Notamacropus eugenii: one gene and its partner. The protein of the gene in region 2 interacts with the protein of the main gene of each other region in a biochemical or structural test. Links are inferred from orthologs where the notes say so. Each region holds a gene or a part of one and is shown on either strand. Other genes may lie near its edges.

The links.
Region 1: the proteins of USP8 (region 2) and STAM2 form a complex in vitro, tested with the Homo sapiens proteins (3 studies listed by BioGRID, with this or other methods). The link is inferred for Notamacropus eugenii from reciprocal best matches to the Homo sapiens genes USP8 and STAM2.

The regions. Positions count from the first base shown.
Region 1 is NC_092876.1:209,398,031-209,407,971, reverse strand, and holds the start of STAM2 (signal transducing adapter molecule 2), read left to right. Parts: upstream 1-3,671; 5' UTR 3,672-3,762; coding exon 3,763-3,802; intron 3,803-3,995; exon of another isoform or gene 3,996-4,102; intron 4,103-4,196; exon of another isoform or gene 4,197-4,383; intron 4,384-9,941.
Region 2 is NC_092878.1:2,605,905-2,615,845, forward strand, and holds the start of USP8 (ubiquitin carboxyl-terminal hydrolase 8), read right to left. Parts: upstream 4,870-9,941; 5' UTR 4,709-4,869; intron 1-4,708. UniProt on the Homo sapiens protein: Hydrolase that can remove conjugated ubiquitin from proteins and therefore plays an important regulatory role at the level of protein turnover by preventing degradation. Converts both 'Lys-48' an 'Lys-63'-linked ubiquitin chains.

The DNA of each region.
Region 1 (9,941 bases), on a different chromosome or scaffold from region 2:
AGAGGGGATCTAGAGGTTTCACTGAACTATCAAAGAGTACTTAACATAAAAAATGTTAAGAATCTCTGCTATTAGCCCATTCTACTCATGGTCTTTGGAGGTTGTCCTCCAATTCAATCTTTAGTATGTGTGAAGTAGTTTTGGAAAAATGAAATGTGCCCTGTGCCAACCTAAGGGTACAGTTATTGATATGTATAGTAAGGTACACCAGGCAAGAGTTGAATGTGGAACAGGTAGGCATCTGAGAATGACAAAAGTTATATAAAAATAGCTATGTAATAACAATAGCTATATGTCAATAGCACCTATCTCCTAGTATTGTTGAGAGGATCAGATGAGATATTTGTAGACCACATGGCATGGTGCCTAGCACACAGAGGGTGCTTAATAAATCCTTCCTTCCTTTGAAATTTTTATAGTTCCAGAAAGGTTCTACCTGATGCCTTCTCAAATTGTGGAGGTGATCCTGGGTTCCTAGAGGCCATGCCATGACAGCCCGTATGATTTAGTTATTTTTTCTTTTGTTCATTAAAAAGGCCATTCCCTGACTACTTCTTAAAGAGGCCTATTCACTCAATGGGTGTTACCTCTCTCTAAATGAGCACCTGAAAAGGCAAGCCTAAAAAGGCCAAGGTCTCCCATTATATCCTGGGTCATCTCCAGTCATCCTGATGAATATTTGATCACTGGATCCAGATGGCTCAGGAAGAGAAGTGAGACTGGTGACCTTACATAGCCCTCCTTCACTCAAAGCAAAGTCAAGTGCAAGTTATGTCATCACTTCTCTGATGTCATGATCTTCTTCAAAAACGAAGGACAAACACAGATCTTAGGAGTGTATAGGATTTTAAGGTTTACAAATATTAGAATTTGTGCAGAACTAGGGTGGTTAGTATCAGAGGTAAACCAGTGTATCGATAATACATTTTTGCTTATTGTTAACGTAATTTTGCTTCGTAATGAGAAGATCTTTCCCATCCATTAATAGGCCCATGTGACCTGCTTAAGTCACATGGAAGCCTCAGTCACATGAGTCAAGTCACATGGAACAGGAAGGGGTAAAGTGGAAAGAGTGGGAAAGGAAGAGGCAGAGCTAGAGTAGAGCTAAGAGAAAATTTGGTCAGAGCAGTCAGAGCCAGGAAGGATGGAGGTAAGCAGGCACCTGGCTAGTGTGAGTGAGAGAGCTTGTTCATGATTTGTTTAAAGGAACTAGTTTGTGGGAAACCTAGCAGGGGGGAGGCTTGGGGATGGTATTGTCCTCTGCATTGTTATTGTGTGTAGATTTTTCTTACTATGATGAATTGGACTTTCTGGTGGTCTAAATAAATGTTTTGGTTCTGTCTTCCATGCGGAGATTCTGTTGTATTTTGTGATTCAGAATTGTGCTGGATATTCATGGCCACTGTAGGTGCTGTGAATATCCCATTGGTGCTATAATCAGAAAAAATTTCACTTTAGCTAGCTCCCCATCTTCCAAATGTATGCTGCACCATTTTTTCCCGTTTCCTCCTTAGTGGTCATGATTTTTCCTTAGTCTGCTCTATCTCTCATTCAAGAGTGGGCAAGGTCCTTTGAATTCAATGGGAGAGCCTACTGGCTTCTGAGGAAAACATACTTCACTTCCCTGAGTTTCTTCTTACCAATCTGACTGCTTCCTCTTAGTTTCCTTTGCTGGATCTTTATCCAGATCATGGCCACTAACTGCGGATATTACCCAGGTCTCTGTCCTGGGTCATTTCCTTCCTTTATACTATTTCTCTTGCAAATCTAATCAGCTTCCATGGATTCAAATATTATCTCTACATAGATGATTCTCTCTCTTTCTTCAGACCTAACCTTTCTAACCTCTGTTCTTACATTTCTTGATTGGCCATTGAACATCTTGAACTGGAGGTCCCACAGCCATCTTAGAGTCGACATGTCCCAAAGGAACCCATTCTCTTCTTTTCCCAAACCTTCCCACATTTTTCTCTTTACTGTCAAGGGTACCACCATTCTCACTACAAGGTGAGAAGGTGTCATTTTCAACTCCTCATTCTCCATCCAGACTGTCACCAACCCCTGCTGATTCTAGCTTCTTCTACATGCCCTCTTCCCTTTTCCCTCACTTCACTGCCACAGCTAGATTATGGCAATAACCTTCTGGGTGGTCTCCCTGCCTAAGTCTAGGGATCTTCCTCAAGCGCAGGTCTCAGCAGACCCCTAACAACCCCGAGGTTCACTATGACCTCCTGGATCAAACGTAAAATGCTGCTGCTCCTGACACAGTTCTCCATCTCCCACATGTCCCTGGTGGTTCCTCGGGCCCCTCCCTCCTCCTTTCTGTCCTTTTTCCTTCAAGTCTCAGCTAAAATCCCACCTTTTATAAGAAGTCTTCCCCGGTGTTCCTTAATACCAACGTCTTCTTTCAGTGATTCCGATTGATCCTGCATCTAGCTTGTTTGTACGTAACTGTGCATGTGGTCTCCCCCAGTATTCCGTGTCTCCCCCAAAAGCTCCTTTGCTTTTCTCTGCATGCCCAGTGCCCGCGTGGCTTCATAAGAAAGCTTTAATCATGAATTCATTGGTCAGCGGCCTCCGACGGTCCCATCCCGGCCGCTGAAAGCGGAGGCAGCTCCAGGGCTTGGGGCCCCATCACCTTCGCTGCCCCTCGAGGTCACCTTCCCAGTGTCTAGACTCGCCCTGCAACATGCCTGCTGGAGCGCCTTTCTCTTTACGGACTGCCACCGAAATCCCCTGCTCGGCGTTTGTTCCTTCTTCTCCCTTTAAATACCAGAACAATCAGCACTCCCCCTCAAAACCTGCCGCAGCCGGCGGAACCTCCCCGCTCAGGGCGTGCGGAGCGCCCAGACAAACAGTCCTGGACTACATTTCCCACAAGCCTTCTCGGCAAGTCCTGGAAGATACACCTCTAGCCTGGAGAAGTTCGATCCCAAACCAGCCGGGTACACCTACCTATCGCTTTTCTCTCGACCCTGCAAATTAAGTGGTATTCCATTATTTCACGGGGGAAGAACCGGAGACTTCAAAATATTAACATATCACACAGTGAGTCAAATGTTAACACCATGATTTGAACCTAGGTCTCATTAGTCCACAGCTCTTCCCACTACATCCATCACGCCGGGAAAACCACGACTGGAGATCACCCCCATTTCCAGAGAACCCAGGGCCTACGGAGGAGGCTGAGTAATAATGAAATGCTGGGCTGTGTTGTTTTATGCGCTTAAGGACTGCTGCTTCCCTGGAAGGTTGCCGGGAAGGCGCAGGACCCTTGTGGAAAAGCCTGGGCACGGGCGCCCCCTGCTGCCACCCATCGGCCTTTGTGCCGGACTCTAGCCAACCTGACGCTCAGCTTCCAGGCTCCTGTCACAACTTCCGGTCCTCGAAGGTCCCTATTCCGGAAGGGGTCCTCGAGATCGGAAGGTGGTTGGAGCTAACGCCTGAAGGCCGCGTGACACTGGAGTTCAGGTAGTTGCCCTCCTTTGGGCCTGCTTAGGGAAAAGGAAGCGGAGAAGAACGCTGACAGCCTCTCTGAGTATAGCCAAGGGAAGGCATAGCTCAGGAGGCTCGGGAGGAGGTCTCGGCCCCTTGGACTCAGGCACGAGCAGGGGCAGCTGCATTTGCGGAAGTGCTGAGGCTGGGCCGGAGGACCGTCCAGGAAGCGGCGGCCGCTGGGTCGAGGAGAGGGGTTAGGAATTGTCGCCGCCGCCACTGCCGCCCTTATCGCGCCTCACCTGGAGCGGACCGGGTTGCGGCAAGATGCCTTTGTTTACGCCTAATCCTTTTGAGCAGGATGTTGGTGAGTTGCCGGGCCAGGCCGTGGGCCACAAGGGCTGTTCCCCCGGAGACGCGGCCGGGGTGAGCAGGGGCGGCGGCGGCGTCTCTTTGGGCCGCTTCTTGGCTGCCCTTCCTCTCCCTGGGGGTGGGGCACTATCCTAGACAACCCCTGGGGGGCCAGCCTGGCCCCCTCGGGCGTGGAGTGGAAGCTCCTCTGCTGCCTTTCCCTGTGCCCTGACCCGGGTCCACAGCAGCGAGAACCACGTTGTCTCTAGAATATCGTGGAGAGGCGACGAAGGAGCAGACCCCTGACCGTCCCAGGGTAGGGGGTCCGTCGGGTCTGGAGACCTTCAGTCTTCTCCGGAGTGTGGGTTTTAATAGAATGCATCTGGGGGGTGGGGGGGGGAACTGGAGCTAGACTGTTCTTACATATTCGTGGAACAGCCAAAAAAAACATGAAGTATTTATCTGGACCTTGAGGAATTCCTGACACGAGACACTTGCTCTCCCAGTCCCCCGATGACTGGGATGCTCTCTCCTCATCTCTGCCCCGGCTTCCTTCAAACCTCTCCTGTAACATCTCGCATTCAGGATCTCCTCAGTGTACGTGTCTTTGGTATCCGAAATTCATCCTCTGTACTGGATCTCGTTCATACGAAGTTTGCACGTCGTCTCTCGAAGGCAGAGCTTGATTTGTTGTTCTTTACTTTCTTTGTGTCCCTGCCGCTTATCACAGTGGCATGTAGTAGGAGCTTAATAAATGCTGGTTGATTGGATGACTAAAAACTACATAATAGAATATCCCCCAAAGTGACTGAAAGCATGCCTGAGCCGCGTAGAATTTCATAATTATGTATTTGTTTTAGTAATTAAGATTTTCTTCTTTGAAAACCAAATAATTGTTTATAGCTCGTCAGAGTCGTGAACGTTTACGCTGCTTGTGAGTTTATTTTGCGGCTCTTTCAAGTTATCTGTTCTCAGCCATTGCAACAATCCTGTGACATAGGTAGGATGTTGCAAATGAGTAAGAGGGGTGTAGAGGTTCAGTGACTCATCCGGTGTCATCCAGCTGGTTTGTGGTTGCAACAGATTTCCTGACCTCAATCAGCCCCTCTTATTAATTAGTTATTAATTAATAATTAAGCCCGCCTTACGGGTGTAATGAAAGGAAAGCCAGATTTAGTCAGAGGACCCCAAATATGGAGTCTGGGGCTTACTACTTTGTGACTTTGGGCAAGTCACTCTTTCTTTCTAGTTCTCTGGGAAAGTTCCTTATTCTTTCTGAGCTTTACTTTCTTCATCTGTAAAGCCGGAGGTGGCCTCTTCCAGTTCTGATCTCTGATCCTACGTGCAAAGCACTGTGACAGCACTTGTGACAGCAGAAATGGAAAAGCAGCACATCCCCTGCCCTCAAGGAACTTTCAAGGGAAATAGGTACACAAAGTGAATCAGAATAGAATGTGGTAAAGCAGGTTGAGATACTAAGAAATCTGAGAAAGATCACTTCATAGAAATGGGGACACCTTTGGTGGACTTTAAAGACTGAGAATAATTTCTCAGGTGGAATTGTGGTAGGAGGAATTTCTGAACAAGGGGAAGAAAATCTACAATATTTGAAAAATGAGAGGAGAGGGCAGGACGAGAGAGATGAGTAATTTGTCTGCCCTTAGGATCTATGAAGTGAAGTAGAATGAGATGGTATCAGAGAATCTAGGTTCTAGTCTCACCTCTGTGCCATCTGTGTGCCCATGGGCATGTCATTAACATCTCTGGGCCTTTTTTTTTCCTTATCAATAAAAGTAAGGAATTGGATTAGAAGGCTTCTGAGTTCAGTAATGTTACAAGACTGGAAAGTTAGAGGAGAATCAGATTTCAAGGAGGGGAAGAGTTGTGAAATATTACACAATCCATAGGCTTTCTTGGTGACTTAGTAGAGAATTGTTTCAGTAGAATGTTGGGGATTGAAGTTTGAGGTAAGAGGTTGTAAAGAAGCTCAGGCAATGAGGGACCTGGGAGATAGTGATTGCTATAGAGCTTAGTTTGAGGAAATGAGATCTAGCAAAAGGTTTCTTGTTAGTTTTTTCAGTCACCAATTTACTAATGCTTTCTGTGTGCCAGACGCTACTAAAAGCTGGGAATACAAAAACAAGAGTCTGTCCTCAAGGAGCTTACAGCCCTTTGGGGGGAGACTGCACACAAAAAAGAACCTGAAAAGCAGGGAGAGAGAGTGGGAAAGTACCCAACTTTGGGGTCATGTTGGAAAAGTCAGAGAAGTCCTTGAGAAATGCAACCTGGTGAGAAATGAGATGATCTGAGCTGAGCTACTTCCTTAAATGGGGGTCAGGAGTTCATGGCCCCACCCTCCAATCAGAGAAGCTGACATGTATCAGGTAGCATACAAGACTCAGGCCCAGGTCAGGGCTGCTAGGTTGTGGCCCTCTAGGTCCTTAAGTGTGGCCCTTTAATAAAAGAATTTGTTCTGTAAAACTTGGACTCAGTCAAAAGGCCACACCCAAGGACCATATGTGGCTTCAAGGCCACAGGTTCCCCACCCCTATCACAAATGCTTTAATTCAAAAAAAGGGGGAAATAATTACTAATATTGCATATTTCTTATCTAAAGCAATTTGAAAATGTTAAAATTATAATGTAAGCTGGTATTATCTAGGAATGGAGATGAGGATATGAAGTTGATTTCCATGGATGGCATCAGTCTAAAAGGAAGGAGGCAGTGTTATCTTCTTAGAGCCCTGTGTGAAATCTTCTGTACCTGGAGAGTAGGATCAGTGTTTAGTAAGATAAATACATGAAGTTCTGTGTGTCCTTACAAGCATAGAAAAAGATTTGTTTTTGTGGTTATCTTGTCCTCTACATTTTTATTAGTACCTAACTGATTTTTATACTCTACTTCATTTTAATTTAAAACAAATAGGCTCAACAAAGCAGTTGAGATTATCTGGCTTTAAGACTTTTTTCTAGTGTCATCGTTTTAAACCACTTCTCTTTAGTTCGGTTGTATACGGTCTCTCATATTTTCAAATCTTCCTTCAGAAAGTCTTCCCAGGTTAAATATATAGTAATTTGGTAAGTTACATACATAGTATACACCTTCATTGCAACATCTGCTTGTTTTTTAAAATAACAGTAAGTACTAAAGATATTCCTATTTTACAAACATAATGTCTTTAAAGTGCTTTGTAAACATGAAAGCACTATAAAATGTCAGCTGTTATTTCCATTATTCTAGACTGCCATGCTTAAGGATTCTGTATGACTGAAGAAAAATAACTTTGTCATACTTAAAATTCCCAGCAGTTCCCTTTTCCCTTGTTTCTTCTCCCTCTCAGTACATCTGTATCTTATTTTCTCTTCCATTTGTTTTCATTGAGTTTTGTTTGTTTTTGCTCTTCAACTTCCATTTCCCTTCCTTTTCTCCATTCACTCCAGCTAGATAAACTTGCTCCTTTTGCTAAGTGTTTGATAATTACTTATATCCTGACCTTAGTCACCAGCTGTCAATATTTTCTCATGTCAGCAAAATTTAGCTCATATTCTATTTGCAATTCAAAAACCTTGTGCCCAAACAACTGGAGGTTTTATAAACCCGATCACAGCATTTCAGAGGGGAGGGAGGTGCCAAATGTAGAATTTATAAGGCATAACCTTTGACCATTGCTCATATTTTTTGTGGACTAATATGTTGATATTCTGGATGGTTCTTGTTTAATTTGAGTGCTTGAAACAGTGTTATTCCAAAATGGTTAATAACAGTTGTGTGCTGAAAATGATTATTTCATGTCTCCCCCTTATCAGAGAAATTAAACATACACAATCTTCCCCCAAACACCCTAAAAAACATACTGATACCCCCAAATTCTTTAATGACTCCCTTAAGATATTTAGTTTATCTTATCTATTTAGAATTTAATAGAGTACAGACAATACTTATATTATTCCAGTTTTGCTATATGTTATATGTAAAAAATACATAAATTTTTTAAAAATATGAGATAGCTTTTCTTTAACAGAGTTTAAATTCAGAGAGTATGCTCTTCTAGCATAGTCAGATTTGGGGGTGGCAAGAGTAGAACAAAGTAGTATAAATAGAAGATCGTAGCATTCTCATTGGGCTAGATGGAGGACGCTTCAGGACTCCTTTCCTACAATAGCGGAACAAGGCCATAAGCATTCTAGGTAGTAAAATAAATAGATTCTGTTAAAGGAGTGCTAGCCATTATGCTTTGTATTATATAATTCAACAGACTGCATTATTCAATGACTGTTAATCCTAACTTTCTTTTACCTCAATATCAAATGATTACACATGCATAAATTATATCATTCCTCATTCTGAGAGATGTATAGCTTCTCCCAGTTTAGGATCTTTACTTATCTCATTTAGTTTGTTTTATTCCCTCCTTTACTTATAAAATTTTAGTGTTTGTTTATTCACATCACTCGTAGGTAATGCCATTTCAATTTCTCTTTTTTTCCTGCTTCCAAATGTTCACTATTTATTGAATGGCCTGCTGTGTGGAAAAACTCCTGTTATGGCCCTAAGTTTAGCATTAGCAATTCCCTTGATTTTCTACGTTCTTTTGCATCTAGTTTCACTTTGTCCACCTAGAATCTCCAGAATCTTCTTTAGAGTACTTAGCAATATTTTCTAGATGAAAGTAACTTGATGTATTTGTGGAGTACTTTGGGAGGATAATTGGATAGTCTTTTTCCTACAGTATTTTTCTGAAAAAACTTCCATCCATAATTTATTTTTCTTTTGCCATTGCGGTGTGGCCTTTAGCCCATGATACCCAACAACAGAAAGGCCCATTAAAATAGGCCTTACTAAGTTTCAGTTACCCTGAAGCATTCCATTGTAGGGTTTAAATGACCATTAGGATAAGTACCACTTCTATTCCTTATAGACACAGTAAAGCAGAATGTGTTAAAAACTGATGAAAAATTATAAGACATTTTATAAAACATTCCCTCCCACCCCTTACCACTTTATGTACCTTTGTAACATAAAATTGAAAGTTCTTGCTTAGAAAAGTCTGTCAGATAATTAAAAAATCTCTAACATGTTTTTTGGGGAACCATTCTTAATATGAATGTTTGAATTAAACTTTTAAATATTTAAATGTATGTGTTTTTAAATTTTTTTTCTAGAAATTTGGTTAGTTACAACTAAAACTTTCAGTAATTATTGAGTTTGAAACAATTTACTTCTCTCATTTACCACAAGATGAGAAGCACTGAACTAGATAACATCTTTTGTTCTTAACTGTGTTTTAATTGTTTCTAGCTGGCTTGGAGAAGGAGTCAGTCTTTTGCGATATTTTGCTTTCTTACAAGTATTATAAAATTCCAATTTATTTTGTGTGGTAGTGGCCTTATTAGGAGAGTTTAAATTATATTGAATAAAATTGTCTTTAAAATAGATATTTAACCTGAGAAGGTTGGTAGTTATTGACAAAAGGGAAGCCTTCATTATCCCTAGAAAATGTTGCCCCTTGGAAATGGTCATCCACTGTTGCTGGGCAACACAAGTCTTTTCTTGTTCAGCAGGTAAAGCCTACTTGCTCTTTGCTCATATTGCATTTGAGTGACTTCATGGCAGAGGCTGTGTGTGTGTGCACATATCCAGAAAGTCTAATCGCTATTGTATTGGTCATTTCATTTTTCTTGCTAATTCCTTGTTCTTATTTGTTTTTATATCATAGTCGTTTCTGGGAGTTTGGAAGAGGGGAGTCTTTCCTACTCTGCCTCTGGATTGGGTGCTCCCTCTTAGCAGAGATAATTATGCAGATATATACTCAAAACAATGCCAACATCTGACAGTGTCTAACATATCCCCCTTTGTGGCAAGCAAGGAGGTATGTTTGCTTATCTGTTTTTGAAACCACCATTGGTTTTTCAGTTATTCAGAGTCTGGCTTCCCTTTAAATACTTTTTCATTTACATTATTCTTTTGGTTCTGCTTATTGCTTATTTCACTCTGTATCCATTCCGAGAAGTCCTTCCATATGTTTCTGAATTTTTCATAGTTGTAATTTATTATCATACAGCAATATTTCCTTGTATTCTAATACTGTGGTTTTTTTCAGCCATTCCACTGTCATTAGGCATCCACTGTATTTCCAGTTATTTGCTACCACAGT
Region 2 (9,941 bases):
AAATTTTCTTTCTTACCCTCTTGACTCTTCTTCCTACCCTCCCAGATACCCTGTGCATTCTTCCTACACTTTAGCTGTCCAAAGTCCCCAAGTTTCCTTCCCAACCCCATAAAAATTTCTCATTTCAAGTCTTGTTAAATGATAATCCCCACTAGACTATAAACTACTATACTATATTCATATTTGTACATTCAATCCCTAAGGATAAAACTTTGCCCTAAACACTGAAGTTTTCTAAATGAATAGTTATTCTTATTAAGGTATAAACGAAGTATGATGATCTCAAGAACGTCAGAGTGGAAAGCCTTCTTGAATACAGGCTATGTGCCAGCTCCTCTGACAGATAGAGATATATGATAAAGTCCTCAGGAAACTTCAAATCCATTTAAAACCAAACTAACATACAGTGAGAATAATGATGTGTTTTGCTGCACAGTTCCTAATCAAAGCAGGAACAAGAATTCAGGCAAAGCAGACATCAGTGTGGGCTGGAATAGTAAGAGGCAGCTTCATTCCCTTACCATCCCCAGCCCTTTTCCGTACATATTTCAGCCATCCACCTCCCCCTCCCCCAGCCCCCAGGTCTCTTCTCTTTTTCTGAGAACTTTAATAGTTTAATATCCTCTTTGAGGATAATTTCAAGATCAACCTTCTCTCTATTACTTTCCTGAGAGCAGCATCTCTTATGGTATTTATCCCCTCATTTGGATTACTTAAATACTTATTTCTCACACCATTCACTTCATCTACTTGCCTTCCTTATACTGTCTTTCCTAAATTGTATACCATTTGGTAGCAAGAACTATGTTTCACATTTCTTTTGACTTCCCAGTGCTATACATACTAGCAGTTATTCAAATGTCTAATGACACTGAAGAGAGACTTGAAAATAGTCTTTAAGGTATGCAAAGAATGCATTCCAAAAACAAAAGAAACATGATGAGCAAAGGCATTGGAAATGAATAACACATATGAGAAGCAGTGAGAAAACAAGACTGACTGGCACTATAGGATGTATGATGCAAAGTAATGATGCATTATTGATTGGCTCTGTCCTTAAGGGGGAATCACATGCTAATCAATCTGGTATGTATTTATATGATTTCTATGGAGAGCAAGGTGCAGGCAGGAATAAGGAAAAGGTAGTTTCTGCCCCCAAGAAGCTTATAACCTAGTTGGACTGGGTGGGGATATGTACAAATAATTACAATACCAGACCAAAAGGAACTGCTGCCGCAGCAGAGATAAAGAGAATACCTAGCAGAAAGAAGGGGGCCACAGAAAGAAAAGTTCATGGATGATCTAACAGGCTTTGAAGGATGAGCAGATTTCAGGACTTGAAAGGATATGTCCCAGGTAGATGGAATCATTGCAGGAACAGAGGTGGGAAAGGCTACGGAGTGTCTGATACAATAAGCTTTTTGTGGACATACTGAGTGTGATGTAATGGGGAGATATTCAAGTAGAGGTCTGTAGAAGATGGAAACACAGGCAAGGTATGGACTGGAGATGCAGATTTGCTGGTCACTTGCATAGGGGCTGAAGCTCTGAGATTATTAGTCTCTAAACAAAAAGCCTTTAACTAAGAAGGGCTCCCAAAGATTTTTTTCCAAAGCAAATGAACTTAAAGGTCACAGAACTTAACATTTCTGCAACAACTAGAAGCTAGAAACAAGAGAGTTTTGCACCTAGTTAACAAGAATAATTAAAATAGGAAGCTACCACATCACTGTAGGGGATCCTGTTAGTAACAACCCTCTCTAAGACATTACAGTAACTAATTCTCCCTCCTAAATTTGTCTTAATGAATTACAAAGTTGACTTGAGGGTGCTTTTCAAGCTGCTCCCCCCACCCTCAAAATAGGAGGAAAAAGGGAGCGGGAGAGAGAGAGGGGGGAAGAGGAAGAGAGAGAGAGGGGAGAGAAATGGGACAGATCTTGGGAGCTAACTCCAATTATGAGGAAGGGGGAAAAAAAAGGAGCAGTAAGTACAGGCCTCAGAATAATCAGAAAAGCAGGAAGAAGTATAGTGTTACAGAAGCTAAGAGAAGAAAGAATTGCAAGGAGGGGGGTAGTCAAATACTACAGTGAAGTCAAAGAGTAGGAGAGCTGAGAAAAGGTTACTATATTCCCTAAGGAGGCCATCATCAACTTTGATGTCACTACCATGGAAAGGACCTAAGCTAGATTAAAAAGAGAATGGGTGGATAAAACCACCTGGTGTAGCCCCACTTTTTTTTTTTAAACAATCTTCATAGTTTGGTGGACTTTTAAAAAATTATGTAATGGCCTTAACATACAAAAAGTGTAAAATGTTCAGTCTTGGTGTCTGTGTCATGAAAGCATAAACTGGTCAGCACCTCATGTCTATAATGCGGAACTATGACTAGAAATAAAAAAAGAACTGTTGGTTTCAAGTACAGGGGTCTGTTCACATGACCTCTGTTCAAAAGTGCTGGGCAGTTGTTCATTTACTCAGGAGACAGCTTTCAACAATGACTAAGTAAGCAATGTGACTCAATTTTTTGAAGTACTTTAAAGGTGCTAAAGGAACACATACAGGAAGAAGCAAAGGAACATGAAGGTGGCAAAGAGTTAATAATAGTTATAATAGTTAAGAGTTGATAATTTGACTAACTTGCAAATAAGATACTTAAGCATAATGGGAGGAGGGGAATCTGTGATTTCATTCCTTTTTATGATTCCACGTGAGCAAACTCTCATCACTGATGCAGATCAGCACCTGCTAAACATATTATTTACAGAGCTACCTGGGGCATGGAGAGATTAAGTAATTTGCTCAAAGACACAAACAGAAGCAGGGCTTGAACCCAGGTTTTTTTTCTGACTCAGTCTAGCTTTCTATCCACTACTTCAGGGCTGTTTTAAACTTATCAAATGTATTAAGTGAGTCATAATTCCTTTTCTACCAAAAATTTTATTGCAGTGAGGAAACACATTCTTTCTAAAGTCCACCAAATAAAAAAGATTTAAAAGAATACACTAAGATTCGGTTTATACAACTTTTTGAAAAGGATTCATTTGTCATTAAACTTAAAGTTTTAACCTGCTTTGAAACTGATCCTCATTATGTATATTATGACCCATTCCTTTCACTAAAGCTATTAGAAAGCTTAGCTTTTTCAAGTGATAAATAGTAATTTGCAAATTAGCTGTAGAATATGCTGTCTATAATGCCCGAGGTTAAATTGAGAGTTGACAATAGTTACCCAGTGGATGGAAATTAGAAAAAGTATTGTGTATGCATCCTGTACACAAAATGTCCAGTTAGAAAGTAGACTACATAAGCCACCATCATCAGAATGTTCTTTTTTATGGCAATAATCTTAGACATAAAACTATTTATTCAGTAACACTACTTAACTTCTGATGTGACTAGATTATCTCAAAATTGAAAATTGAAATGAGACACACTACAGCTAACATAAATGATAAGATCTCTGGAAAAGGATAAAACTAAATCTCTATTGGGTCTCCTTTGTGTTAAGGAAATAAAAGTTAAGAAACTTAAGGAATTTAAAGCTAAGAAACAGTTCTATCTCCTTACATCACCCAATTTTCATTAATGTTGTTAGGGTAGCATGGAATAACTTATATTATCATTCACTAACATCCAACTAAAATTATGGTTAAGAAATTTTAACTACATTTTGCTCTGCATCTAAACACACAAAAAAAGATGAATCCCATAAAATGCTCTTCAGCCAAATCCAGACATTGAAATGTGTTCCCTTAGTTCATAATTTTAATAGTAATGCCTTTTCACATTTCAATGCATGGTTTGTTTGCTTCTACACAACTTCTGGTATTTCTCACATTAAGAAAATTATAACGTAGCACAAAGCTTGCACAATTTTGTGGGAAAAAATGTGGTAAATATAAAGCTTCTCTGAAGTGACAGCTGAGCTTTATCTTCCAATGTCAAGTCCATACTTATCATTTGGGTAATGATGTTCAAGATAACATCCTTACAATATGATCCCATTCTATAGTCTTGTTATCCCTTACAAAACTAGCAATATAAAATTATCTTAAAGCTTTTTCTTTCCATAGTAAGGAGACCTTATTAAATTTGGCAACGTTAATTCAAGCGCATTTCCAGAGATTGTTACCGAGACCTGACATCACCTACTTCTGAACAAAATATTCCCAATTTCACCCATCCCCGAGGACCTACGTGAAACAAGGTACCTTAGACTGACTCAGCCGCCGTCCTGGGCACCCTTAAAAGGCTGCCCTCGCCAAGCTGAGGGGCCCGCAGACCTGGGCTCAGGTAGCGGCTTTCGGCCCGGCGGAGGCAGACGGACGCCTTGTGTTCAAGGTCAGAGAATGAGCTCCCGTCCGGACTCCGGCTCCGCAGCTTCCCTCCTACATCGCAGGGGCTGGGGGCGACCCACGAGAGGGGCGACCTTAACTGACTCCGGGGCCAGAGGGCCCCCCCCCACCGCACACCTGAGAGCGGAGCCTGGAGGGGCCAGGCCCAAGGAGGCGGGCCGTCTCCGCCCCGCGCACCCGAGGCCCTGGCCGCGGGAAAGGCCCCGGGACGCCGCCGGACCTCCCCCCAGCCGGTCCCGGCTCCGAGGCGCCCCCGCCCCGCCCTCCTGCCTCCCGGTCCGCGCCGGGGGTGGGGGTCCGGGCCCGGTGGACGTCCGTCATGGCAGCCCGGCCGGGCCTCGCCCCGCGCTTACCGTGGGGTGGGGAGGGAGGCCACGCTTCACCAGCGCCTCTTCGTTCGCCAAAGGCCCTTCTCCCGGGAACCCGCGGAATCAGCCATCGCCGTCCAGGCGGAAGCGAGCCCGGCCCGTCCCCTTTTTCCCAAACTGCACCGCGGCGCGGCGCGGCGCGAAACGTCATCCTGAGGGGCGGGGCTCGCCCTTGGGCCCTAGTCCCCGCCCAGGGCTGGGAGAGGATCCGGTAGGGGGAGGCCGGAGGACCGCAGGAGAGCCGGGCCACCGAGGGCGCGCCTCCCCCATCCCCCCGCCCCCACGCAGGCGCGTGCGCGCCGTCCAGGGCACGCGCGCTTCGGGGGCGAGCTGGCCCCAATGACGTCAGTGCGCGTCCCCCTCCCCCGCGGCCCCGAGTTTTTTTTTCTTTTTGGTTAGTCCCGTAAGAAAGACCCTTCCACCCCGCTCATTATGGAAGAAAAAATAACCCGCACGAAGCCAGTCCTCCGGCCGCGTGCTCGGCTCAGGGAGGGAAGCCGGGCCCGGTTCAGCTCAGAAGTCTCGCCTTTCCTGGCGGGCGTAAGTCACCGGCATGGGCACAGCGCTCCGCACTGGGCTGATTGCCTTCCTTTTAAACAAAATTAATTGTTCAAATATTCTGAAAAGTGGAACCGGCGGACTGGACGGCGGCTCGCCCGCGGCTGACCTGGCCTGGACCGCGTGACTGATGTGTGAGCCTGGCGGAGCCGGGGCCGAGCCTTCCTGCGAGGCTGCAGGTTCGGAGCCTGGCCGGCCAGCTGTGGGGACACTCTCCCAGAAGCCCCTACAGGGTCCAGAGGAAAGGGGGTTCCGGGTTAGGAAGCTTTTTCTCAGCCCTCGCCTTGGCACCCCCTAGATGGACTTCTCCCTCCCGCACCCAAACATTCAGTCAGTTGTCCAGTCTTCCTGACTGTCCAGCCGGGAGAGTCAGGCCCAGAACGGGGCAGGTCCAGGGCCAGGCAGCGCGGTGACGTCACCTGCTCTGCGCTCTGGGAGGTCGGACTTGTCCTGGGTCTGCCCTGGATCCCAACGTGATGCCCCCCTTCCCTTAAGGGTCAGCAGGTTGAGGGGAGCTAGGCTCCAAGTGCGTGAGAGAAGTAGCTCAAACGAGGAGCTGGACGCCTTCCAGAAACAAAGGATACAATGTATCCAATGCTGGAGTAAGTCCTGAGCTGACCTCACTTGGATGTGGGGCAGTAGCTCGCATATGGAATCTTGGAGTCGCACGATGATAGATTTGGAGAGGGAAGAAGACTTGGAGGCCACGGTCTAGTCCAACTCCCTTTATTTTGCGGGGGAGGAAACTGAAGCCTGAGAACTTAAATGACTGATCCAAGGCCACATGAGTCCTAAGTGGCAGGGCTAGAATCTGAACCTGGCTCTTCTGACTCTGAATTCTAGGCTTTTCCCACTGTCTCCCCTCTATAAGCCTTCTGGCCCCAGGATTTCACCAATTCGTACTTTGACCGTTTCCCCTGATGTTTACGCATCCTTCCCCCACTTTTCCCTTTTCCTTTTCTTTCTCAAGGACTGATAATTAATCAGTATTACCTTTGCCCACATGAAGGACAAGACAGCCTGCTGCTGGAATGCTCTGCCCTAACCATCCAGATCGCATTCCCTCTCTCCAGTGTCTCTTTCCTACTCTTCCTTACCTCCCATTTTTCCCTCTGAAACTCATGTTCTACTGTTAAATTTTCCCTTATGAAACTTAGGAGATTCATGGCCTCTCCCCAGAAATTATTTCCTACATGTTACATTTATTTATCATGTACACATGTTATTTTCTTCCAATAGAATGTAAACTCCTAGTGGGAAGAAACTTGGTTTACGTCAGTACTCCCAAGTGTCTAGCACAGAGTTGGGCACATAACAGGTGCTTAATAAATGCTTACGGACTGATTCATGACTATTTAGTGATGTTCCCTTCTACTAGTCAAACAGAAGATCATCATGTTCGTACTTTGTTGCCGAAGAAGACCATGCCATCAGAAAAATGATGATGTGACTTGCACTTGACTTTGTTTTGAGTGAGGGAGGGCTGTGCAGGTCACCAGCTTCACTTCTCCTCTAGAGCCATCTGAATCCAGTGACCTGATATTTATCAGGATGACTGGAGATGACCCAGGATGCAGTGGGAGTGGCCCTTTAGGCCAAGGTGTTTGCAGGTACTCATATAGGGTGAGGCAACACCCATTCATTGAATAGGACTGTTTAAGAAGCAGCCAGGGCATGGCCCCTTTAAAGGGGTCAAGAAAAACAAAGACATCAGGCTGGGTGGGAAACAGCAATAGTTACTATTGATAATCACTCTAAAGCTGGGGGGGGAGGTGTCCAAGAGCCCTTGACAGGGGCCCCTTGGAGTCGCAGTTCCAGAGTGTAGTAGGTTTAAGGTATTGGGAGAGGACAGGGGACAGGACAGGGGAAAGGAGACGGGAGGGGAGAGGAGAGGAGAAAGGAAAGAGGCAGTAAAACCCAGGTTAACTGGGCAACTTTTGACCATCCAAATTTACCTTCCTTTGGAGAGGAGAAGGAAGGGGAGGGAGAGGCAGACAGGAGAGGAGGGGGTGAGGTACCCAGCTAGTATTCAGTCAACTGCATCTACTCACAGGATCGCATTCGTCCTTCGTGCTGAAGAAGAGCATGCCATCAGAGAAATGATGACATGACTTGCACATTTGATTAAGGCTCGAAGGAAGTTGCTGATTCCAAAAGGCAGAGACAAAGAAGGAGAATATTCCAGGTATGGGAATATTCCAGGTGTGCTTGTGCAAAGACAGATACAGTGGAAGGGTAGAGTTGGATAGGGATCCAGAAAACACAGAGATGATATGGATGAGTGAGAAATGGTGGCCAGGGAAGGGAGATCTGGTCTACTTGTTCTGTGATTCAGAATCATAGGAATTCTGGGTGGAGCATAGAGTAATAGGGCATTAGATTGTCATGACTTTCCTAGTAGCAAGAGTAATGTTGACTAGATGATTCCCTGACAAAAAGCTAGAAGAGGGGAGAGAAGGGGTATACAAATGTATCAGGGTAGTTGGCAAGATGATCAAACTGGCTAGACACTGATTCCCGATGGGATAGTTGAATGGCATGATATTCACGCTGGGGCAGGCCAAATATGGATGGCTCTGATAGGTTTCATTTACTCACTTTATAAATCACAAGTGTAGCCTTTCCCCAAGGTGGGTGAGTGGATTAACTCCCTCCCTTGAAGTATCAGAAGGGATTTCTGGAGATCTCAATGGATACTGATGAAGAGGAGAGGTTGGTAGGGCAGTTGGAAAGGCAACCCAACTCAGTCTGATGGGATGGCTAGATGGAAAGGAGTTGAGACTGGCCAGATATAAAACTTATGAACTATGGTTTTGACTGAATGTTGACACAGAGAGTATCTTCAAACTTGGGTAATTTTTGTGAATGATCCACCTGAAAGGACTGTGCTTTAGATGCGACATTGACACTCCATGTTGGAATTCTCTTTTTTATAACCTTGTTGAAAATGTTGCTGTGGTCCTGGACTTCAGCTGGACAGATGATGGATTGGGTTGAATAGACTTTTGTGGATTGGCCTGAAAATCAACTAGCACTTACCATATTATTTCCATGGGGAAAAGTATAAATGACCTTTTGGAACACTACTTCTTAGTGAATTTCACACTGTCTTTATTTAGACCATTGTATCTAAATAGAAGATATCTGCCAGTGATAAGCCTGAATTTGACCATGACTTCAGTTTGGATGTTCAAACATCACCCTGCGCGGCACATGCAGTGACCAATCCAATAACTCTTAACTCTGATGAACCATTGAGAAATGTATTTAAGGATGTTATCCAAGAAATGATTCACATGCATTTATTTTATGATGAAAGCTAGGCTCATAGTACATTATCAATTCTTCATTACTGAATTATAAAAGGAGGATATTATAGGAAGGAATTATAAAAAGAGATATACTGTATGTACCACACTTTGCAAATTGTAAAAGTCTATGTAGATATCAGTTGTTATTATTAGTATTATAACAGATGAAGAGTCCAGGTGCTATACTGGTATCAGGAATGTGTCAACTGGAGCCAGACTGAACTGACTTAAGAGAGCTGATTGTTAAATTTTTAGGATGAGCATTTAGACTCTGGCAATTTACATCTGGCTGACATCTACAAATGTTAAAAGAACTAGAGAAGGTCTCAAGCACATTGGTGCTCAAGGACATTCCCCAGTGAAAAATACGTAGCAGAATGTGGATAGGATTACACAGGATTGGAAGACATGGAGGGGCTGTAGTCTAAACTCTGGCGGCAGTGTCTAAATTATTGAAATAACAGACCTTTTGAGATATTGGAAGAGTATTTTTACTAAGGCACTTGTGACCTCTGGTAACATCTTCTCTCCTACCCACCTATTTTCTCATACTTCAAAACTTCAAGAATTTGATTTTGTCGGTATGCTCTTGACCAAGAGGAATAGGATTTCTTGAGAGAAGCATACCCTTTGGAGAGTGTCCAGTGACTGTAGGTCAAAGATAGGAGGCCAACCTGAAAACAAAGCAATCTATTAGCATGGTAAGGAAGATTGCTCTCACTGATAGGGACTGGTTTCTTACAATGGAGATTTAGTTTTTATAATTTTTCAGGCCCATTTAAACGTACAGAATCAATGTCTGGCATTCTGCTGCAACTTAGGATAGATAAGCAAAGTATTTCACTGGAGAGGGAAGAGTAAAGGGGAATTATCTAAGGAAAAAAGTGTGGGAGGGGTCTTTTGGGAGCATATATGTTAGGCAAGATTTGTTATTAGAATGAGAAGACATTTTCTGTCCAAAAGCAGAAGATAAGGGATGTGACTAAATACTTTTACATCTGTGAAAAGTCCTTTTAGACAAAACTATAGGGTTGAGGTAACCATTTAGGCAAGATTCTAAGTATCTCTTAACCAAGGGCAAGCAGGTGTTACAACAGATGAGACGCTCTGCTTTACTATATTCCTACATAGTTTGTTATATTTAAATTGTCCTTCAACAGCAGCTGGAGACTTTCCACTATTAGGCTTCCAGGTAGTTGGAAAATTTCTACATTGTTCATACATCAAGATGTTGTGATGATTATGTTCCTATTTTCTCCCCACAACTCCCTCCAATTGTTAGTAGTAATATCAAAAAATGTTATTTTCTAGCTACATGAGCATGGATAAGACATCTAACTGAGATTCAG